Bombyx mori: one gene and its partner. Each later gene encodes a partner of the first gene's protein in a complex. Links are inferred from orthologs where the notes say so. Each region holds a gene or a part of one and is shown in the gene's direction. Other genes may lie near its edges. The genes, in order: NADH dehydrogenase [ubiquinone] 1 beta subcomplex subunit 10; NADH dehydrogenase [ubiquinone] 1 beta subcomplex subunit 11, mitochondrial.

The links.
Region 2: the proteins of NADH dehydrogenase [ubiquinone] 1 beta subcomplex subunit 10 (region 1) and NADH dehydrogenase [ubiquinone] 1 beta subcomplex subunit 11, mitochondrial are in contact, whole or in part, in a cryo-EM structure (PDB 8BA0), measured with the Drosophila melanogaster proteins. The link is inferred for Bombyx mori from reciprocal best matches to the Drosophila melanogaster genes ND-PDSW and NP15.6. Residues at the interface, in NP_651972.1 of Drosophila melanogaster: Trp40, His42, Gln43, Phe45, Thr50, Ile51, Asp52, Ala65, Phe69, Arg70, Arg71, Met74, Val75, Glu78, Ile79, Ile82, Leu83, Arg86, Ala112, Asn115, Trp116, Ile118, Lys119, Ala129, Tyr133, Gln136, Lys137, His138, Arg139, Leu140; in NP_650774.1 of Drosophila melanogaster: Gln101, Phe102, Arg103, Trp105, Ala106, Gln107, Arg108, Glu109, Gly110, Phe111, Leu112, Glu113, Leu114, Val125, Ser126, Pro127, Asn128, Tyr129, Val130, Asp131, Pro132, Ser134, Ile135, Thr136, Leu137, Pro138, Leu143, Glu147, Ile148, Ile149.

What each region holds. Positions count from the first base shown.
Region 1 is NC_085123.1:6,798,291-6,802,889, reverse strand, and holds NADH dehydrogenase [ubiquinone] 1 beta subcomplex subunit 10, read left to right. Parts: upstream 1-1,780; 5' UTR 1,781-1,835; coding exon 1,836-1,932; intron 1,933-2,001; coding exon 2,002-2,137; intron 2,138-2,138; exon of another isoform or gene 2,139-2,328; intron 2,329-2,700; coding exon 2,701-2,840; intron 2,841-3,439; exon of another isoform or gene 3,440-3,565; intron 3,566-3,898; coding exon 3,899-4,005; 3' UTR 4,006-4,075; downstream 4,076-4,599.
Region 2 is NC_085116.1:8,701,057-8,703,934, forward strand, and holds NADH dehydrogenase [ubiquinone] 1 beta subcomplex subunit 11, mitochondrial, read left to right. Parts: upstream 1-1,477; 5' UTR 1,478-1,750; coding exon 1,751-2,182; 3' UTR 2,183-2,255; downstream 2,256-2,878.

The sequences.
Region 1 (4,599 bases):
TCAAAGATGTACTGGGATGGCATAGTGAGAACTTTAATTTCTTTAATTTTTTCCCTCAGGGATTCCCTTGAGTGCATGTTATAAATAGCACGTATAGCTCTTTTCTGCAGAATAAATATCATTTCTACATCGGCCGCATTGCCCCATAGCAAAATGCCATAGGACATGACACTGTGGAAGTAACTAAAGTAAACTAAGATATCCTTAGTTTATTAATGTGGCGTGGTCACCCAGCTTAAATATTCGTCAGTACGTGGATAGTTATTAAGGCGCTGCAACGCTGTAGTCGAATGTAATGGAAAACGCCATTTTATCCCTCTAAACGGAATGCAAATGGAAAATTTGAATAAAAGATAAATGCTGTTTGAGAAAAAAAGTATTGATTTATATGTAATTATAAGTAATATTTATATCTATTATTTAACGGCCGTCTGGTGTAGTGGTAAGTGACATGGTCACTACACAAGGGGGTCGCGGGCTCGGATCCCGCCAAGGGAAGATATTTGTATGATAAATATAAATGTATTTTCCAGGGTTATGGATGTATATTAAATATATGAATGTGTATAATAAAAATCTTACATTTATTTCCGTTATCTGGTACCTGTAACACAAGTTCTTTACGAACTTATCACGGGACTAGTTAACGTGGCGTGATTGTTAGTAAATATTTCTTTATTTTTTTATTTAAAAAATAAAAAAAAGAATATGTATGGAAATATCAAAAAAAAGTTTAATTATGACCAGAATAATATATAGCTAAATTATTTGTGTATACCGACTGACGATAGCAACGGCGAATTGTTTGCTAGCGCTACAAAGCAAAATTTTAATGTATTAACAGTCCCGGCAAACGCCAAATTCCATTCCAATTCCTAGTTAAGTAGAATTTCTCTGAAAAATATGACATATAATACTAGAAACCTCCCCTTGACTTGACTAGACAGCATTAATAAAATTTGGCACAATCGGATTAATGGGTTAGGAAGGCACAGAGGGAACAATAGAAAAAACTATTATTTATAGGTACTTATTCCTCACCATCATTTTCATTCTAATCTCCGCAGAATGAATACGCATAGAACAAGCACTTGGCGAAGTTGGCGGCCCAACATTCTGCCAAAAATTAAGAGCATAGACTGTACAATAATATTATTTTGTGACAAATTTTAAGCATAATATTATTGAAAATAGCTCATCCCTCCATAATATGGAATAAATATAGGGTGGCGGGACTGGGAAAAGCCATGGCCATAAAATAAAGTAACATATTGAACAAAATATACTTAAAAAAAGATATTTAACATAATGTCTTAAAACCAATTATATTTAATTATGATTATAGATCGTATACAAATTAAAATTAATTAATATGATTTAAACGCTTTATGAAATCGTATGACGAAACTTCATTTTAGAATTTGTACGTTTAACTAATGTACACAGTAATACTGTTGCGTACCTAACTACTTCGTTACTTTATTAACATTTAATTACAACGCTATCATTTTATGTTGGGGCCTCATCCGATTTGCCACGGGCCTCAGATGGTATAGCAACGTCACTGCAGGATGATTCTTGATATAGTTTTTTTGACAAAATTACTGATAAATACACGGCTGGACTTTTTGGCGGGAATTGGAACAATAGAAATGAGCTGTCTCTTTGTTATTAAGGTTTACCTGTTTGGGGTGTATTTTCCTGTGCCTATCCGATAGTCAAATGAAACTAAAGCGAGAAACGAGATGACAGCTGTCAAAACTGACAGATGAGAGAAGGGGCGAGAAGACAAATAACATTTAATAAAATTTAAACAACGATATCTCAATTTTAATATGGTACAAGACGGAAATCCTCCTGATGATAATGTGTTTAGAGCATTTTGCAATGCTCTCTACAATACAGTCGATGCTCCGGTAACATGGTTCCGAGGTGGGTTAATTTGATATCATAAAACTAGTGTGTTGTTATGTAAGTGAGTAATTTTTTCATTGTACGCAGAAACTGTTGTCGAACCAAACCAGAAGAAGTACCCTTGGTATCATCAAAACTACCGTCGTGTACCGACTATTGACCAGTGCTACGACGACGACGTCGTTTGCGACTTTGAGGCTAATGCTCAATTTAAACGAGACAGGTTAGCTAAATCACATTCATTTAATATCATAATCAGGTTAATAATATGCTACTTAGTAACTAGGTAAAATAACGGACAGTCTTTGGAAAATAGCCAATTGTTCCATTAAATATTTTGTAATAACTCTTCAATTTGTTGTATTAGGCATGAATTTATTTTCCATCCTCCTTCAAACTGCTGGAGAACTATAACTGAATATAGACTTACATTTAATTTTAATAGTTGTATGAAAGTGAAATTATCTATCTATCTCTATATATAAAATGAATTGCTGTTCGTTAGTCTCGCTAAAACTCGAGAACGGCTAGACTGATTTGTCTAATTTTGGTCTTGAATGATTTGTGGAAGTCCAGAGAAGGTTTAAAAGGTAAATAAATATGAAAATGCTTGGAGCTAAATAAAAATAATGTTGTTTTTCCTTTGATGTGTCCCTTGTCAGCCGGATTCCTTTTGTTTGTTTTAAGTTTATTTTATACAAAAGTTTAGGTCTTTTATTTATAGATTGAGGCACCACGAAGTCTGCCGGGTCAGCTAGTCTATTATAATAATATATTTCATTTTAGGGCAGTAGACTCTGAGATATTAAGCATTCTTAGGCAACGCTATGAAGATTGCATGATGTATGAGCAACCAGACCATGCAACTAAATGCAGGTCTCTTTGGGACAAGTACAAGTCTGCTGAGGAAGCTTGGTTCATTAAATGTATGTAATTCATAATTTGGGATACTCTTTAATTATGCTTTATCAAATATATGTATATGTAACTATACTTGAGACCTTAGAACTTGTATCTCAAGGTGGGTGGGGCATTTACGTTGTGGATGTCTATGGGCTCCAGTAACCACTTAACACCAGGTGGGCTGTGAGCTCGTCCACCCATCTAAGCAATAAAAAAAAAATGACATGTCTAAGTAAAAAGCATTGAATTGAATGAAATAAAGGACCTTACAATTTTTTTCTTTAATTGCACCAGATCAGTTCAGAGCCTACCATGTGACACAGCAGCATGAGTAACCCTACACCCACTTTTAAATATAAGGAAAAAATATCTGTTGGGTTATGCAGAGGCCACCCCACCTTGCAAAGCAGAATGCATGACTTTCTGTGGAACAGGACAATAATAGGTGTTGTGTATAAATGTTAAGCTATATAAAGAAATGTCTTTTAGACAACAATAACTTCAACCCTGTGTACTATTGAATTTTATAACATTCATTTTCCTATAGTTTCCTTCTTGAGAATGGTAAGGCCGGTCTGATTGTTTTTAGGGTTAATTTATTTTAATAAGAGAGATAACATACTTGAAAAATCGAGTTAACATTATTTCTCAGATATATCAATTATAGATTGTAATATTCTAAGAAATCAGAGATCCTGTGTGAAAGGTAGGATTATCTAATATTTGTCAGTTGGTCTCATGAAGTGACACAATATCAATGGATTGCTGTCTATGTCATTATATGGCAGTAAACTCCACTGCCTCTGTACTATAAACCTTTGTTGAGCAAAAAGTCTTTGGTCACTGACATCATGGTATTGATATTGTTGATGTTGCAATTATTTTTAATATGTTTTCTATTTCCACCACTATATTTTTTGTATCTATTTGTTAATTCGGAAATGCATTAAAACATAGAATTGGAAAATAGGCATATGATAAAGACATGAAAGAAATACTCTTTTATTGTTTATGTTAACTTATTAATTGCGGGCTCTCATACAGTGATGACATTTTAAACACTGTTCATATTCGATTTCAGATGGTGACCTCGGTGCTTATGGTGATGCGCGAAAAGCTTACATGAAGCAGAAGCATCGCATGGTCTGGGAACGACGCAATGGTCCCTTATCAGACCTTACAAAGTGATCATTTAAATCAGTTATAAATAGTAGATAAAACTTGTTGTTGCAATAAATATTCATAATCCTCTGTCTTTATTTTCTGTTTATGTTTAAATATTTTATACCAATCTAACCTTATTTTTTGTAAGTAAATAACTAGTTAGGTAGTCCATCTACCTTGTGCCTCCTGTTGTGAATATTAGTAAGAACATTTACTCTTGTGGTGATGAACCATTATACAGAGAACATTAATAGTCTTGGCTGGTTAAAAGCGGCAGAAAGGCTGGTCTAGCTTCAACAGTCTTCGACTTCTGCGAGTCCACCATCTCGCAGAAGGAGGCGGCGGAACGGGAGAGGGAGAACTCTTCCTCCCTCTCGGCGCCGTGCCGCCGCCGTCGAGCCGGGGCTCGGAGGAGGGCGTTTGTCCAGCTCCAGCCCCTATGAGAAGGCAGTCTCCTCCCGGTGATGGTCACGGGGCGACCTAAGGGGGCTGAGACTGCGCCGCACGCTACCGTCACTCTAGCGCGCTGGCACCAGGAGGACGGGACGACGCGTCGGCGGCTGCGGACTGCGATGCGGTCCGCATTTTCGTCCCGTTCCGACCCGGCAGGCTGGTTCT
Region 2 (2,878 bases), on another chromosome or scaffold:
TCGCCATATGAAATCCGTTCATCCCACAATAAATTATATTAAGTAAAAAATATAATTATTATATTATTAAGTAAGTCAATCTCTGTCAATTATTATAACAGTGTATTACAATACAAAGTTCATACTTTGTATTGTAATACACTACTGTAATGACACACCCGAATCAATCATTACCTAAGTGATGTGTATCAACACATCACTTAGGTAATGATTCGGGTGTATAGATACAATGTATTCGTCGTCACAGTATCTATTGAACGCACCGAGTAATGTTAAGAGTGATGTGTAATGTTTTCGAGTAATATCACCTATCTGTAAAAGTGATGTCATCTCACATTACATTGGGAAGTGATGTTTTGCGCAAGTCTAGTGAGGAGTTATTTTAAAACACTGACTTCATGGTTAATTTGAATTACGAACATTACGCTATTAAACATTTACAATATTTTATGTTTATATAACCCTAATATGTTTTACTGTCCGTGTCTAGATGAGAAGTCAATTGTCATAACAGAAGACAATCAACTGTTTTAACCACGTTTTAACATTTAATTATATCTACCTCACTGAAGTAGGAAACCTATGGAAATGAAATGTCAACAAAAATTCGTGCCACTGTGACGTCATCTGACCACAAAACATGGCGGTTTTAGTGCTGTACAAAAGATTTCAATGTATCAGGTTTTATCGATAAACGTTCTTGGCTCATTTTATTTTAAATATTGTTGAGTATTATTTATTTGTAGAATTTATACTTTAATGGGAAGTAAGTAGGTATATTGTTATGTGCAAATATGATATAATTTAGATGTGTGAAATCTAAGACAAGTTCATCCTTCGAATTTGCCAAGTAAACGATATGATGATTTTTAAAAGTTGCTACACTGATTTTATAAAGTTGTCGTTTGCCGCAAAACATAAAGATATGGCGTAGTACAGTGCCATCTGCCCATTTCTAGCATGCTGAATGTTATCGTGTTTTGAGTACGTGTTTTTCTTAGACTATTACTATCTATTTTAATTGTTTTGCTGACTCTTAAGTCCGTAACACACTACCGCAGCGCACCTCAAGAAAGGTGCGCTGCGGTCACTTCACTTAAGTGACAAGTGTTGTCTGCCATTACCATGGAGTTAATAAGTACCTACAAGCCATTACCTACTTAAACATTCAAACTCCCACAGAATGTGATAGGAATCAAGTGGTCTTTTTTCAATTACAGATTTACAATTTCCGTTGTAAAAAGCTGGCATTCGTTTCCATCCATCCGTATGGCTACATATTGTTACTAATAGTACATATTGTTGCCGTATTAAATAGTATTATTTAATTGAATTGTGTACTATTAGTAAAATAAGTATTAAGTATACCCATTAAAGGGATCTTTAGGGCGTAGATGAAACTATTGTAGAACGTAAAACTACATGTTATGTCTATGCATGTCTACGGACTTAGAAAAAATACGACAAATCTACTGCGGCGTGGTTCAAGGCAATAATTAGTGTCTTAATCTGAGACCCGAACAAAGATTAAGTAGTGTCCTTAATCATCTGTGAAAATCCTTGATCATTTTGAAAACTATAAGAAACCTAAAGGTCTGGTGATCAATGGCCGTAAACAAATCGTGGAAAAAGAGTAAATTTTCTTGATTTCATAACCAATTGGCCAATATTATATGTATTGTCAGATAAATATAATTTAAAAGTAATAAGAACAGTTCAATCAGTGAATTTGAGGATAGTAGTCTTTAGAATGGCCGCTTTGATAAAACTACGCCATATGCCCTTAGTGCAAAGAAGCGTTTGGAATCATTTCAACAAAGTAAGTCGGAATATTTCCACCTCTAAAAAGAACAGCGACACCGCCACAACTGCTTGTGAGACCAAAACAGAAGATAAGAACTGGGTTAGCTACGGTTTTGACTATACGAGCAAAGAAGAAGACACTAATGCCCATCACGCCACCTTTTTCTTTTCTGTAACATTATGTATTGTTTTTGGTGGTGTCTGTTGGGCCTATTCTCCCGATGTACACATGAGGGACTGGGCTCAGCGTGAAGCATTTTTGGAATTAAGACGTCGTGAAAAAGCAGGTCTTCCACCGATCAGTCCCAACTTTATTGATCCCAAACTTATAAAGCTGCCTGATGAATCCGAGTTGTGTGATGTTGAAATAATCATCTAAATATAATCACTCTATCCAATACATATGGCATATGTAGAAGAATTCAGTACATAGTAAAGTTATGTTAACAGTTTGTTGTTTTTAATTTAGCCATATTAAAAAAAAACAGATTGTAAATACCTAAGATTGCTATACATTTAGTATTACTTATACTTATAGAAAATTTGTGTAAATATTTCAGGATGAATTAAATTTAATATATACGAAAGTCATGTTTGTATATATGAGTCGACTATTATCAAAGCCGGCAATGTGACTTTTGGACAATTATTGGTAAATCAGAAAAACAAATTATTGACTTTGTATTCTATTGGCAGTTACAAAACTCTTCTGAACGACATTTTAGATAAATAACAGGTTAAGTATTAACCTTTATTTAATGCAGGTTTTGAACCGTATTCTTTGAAGGAGACGATTAAATTCAAATCAATCTGTATTGACATATCAATAACATTTTTTTGTCCAAATGCACAGAATGCCACCTTTGATAATAGACAACTCATATGTTCCTTGTAGAGTTTTTTGATATACATTATAGTGATCACGACTGCTCTGAAAAATCTAAACAACTAATATATGAAGTCGTCCTGTCTCAAAGGTGTAATCATATTGAGTTATAGTGTCTAGATTGATGTTTAAATCTGACAGCGAGGTACCAATTTTCCATATGATACATGTACCTAACACATGTTCGCA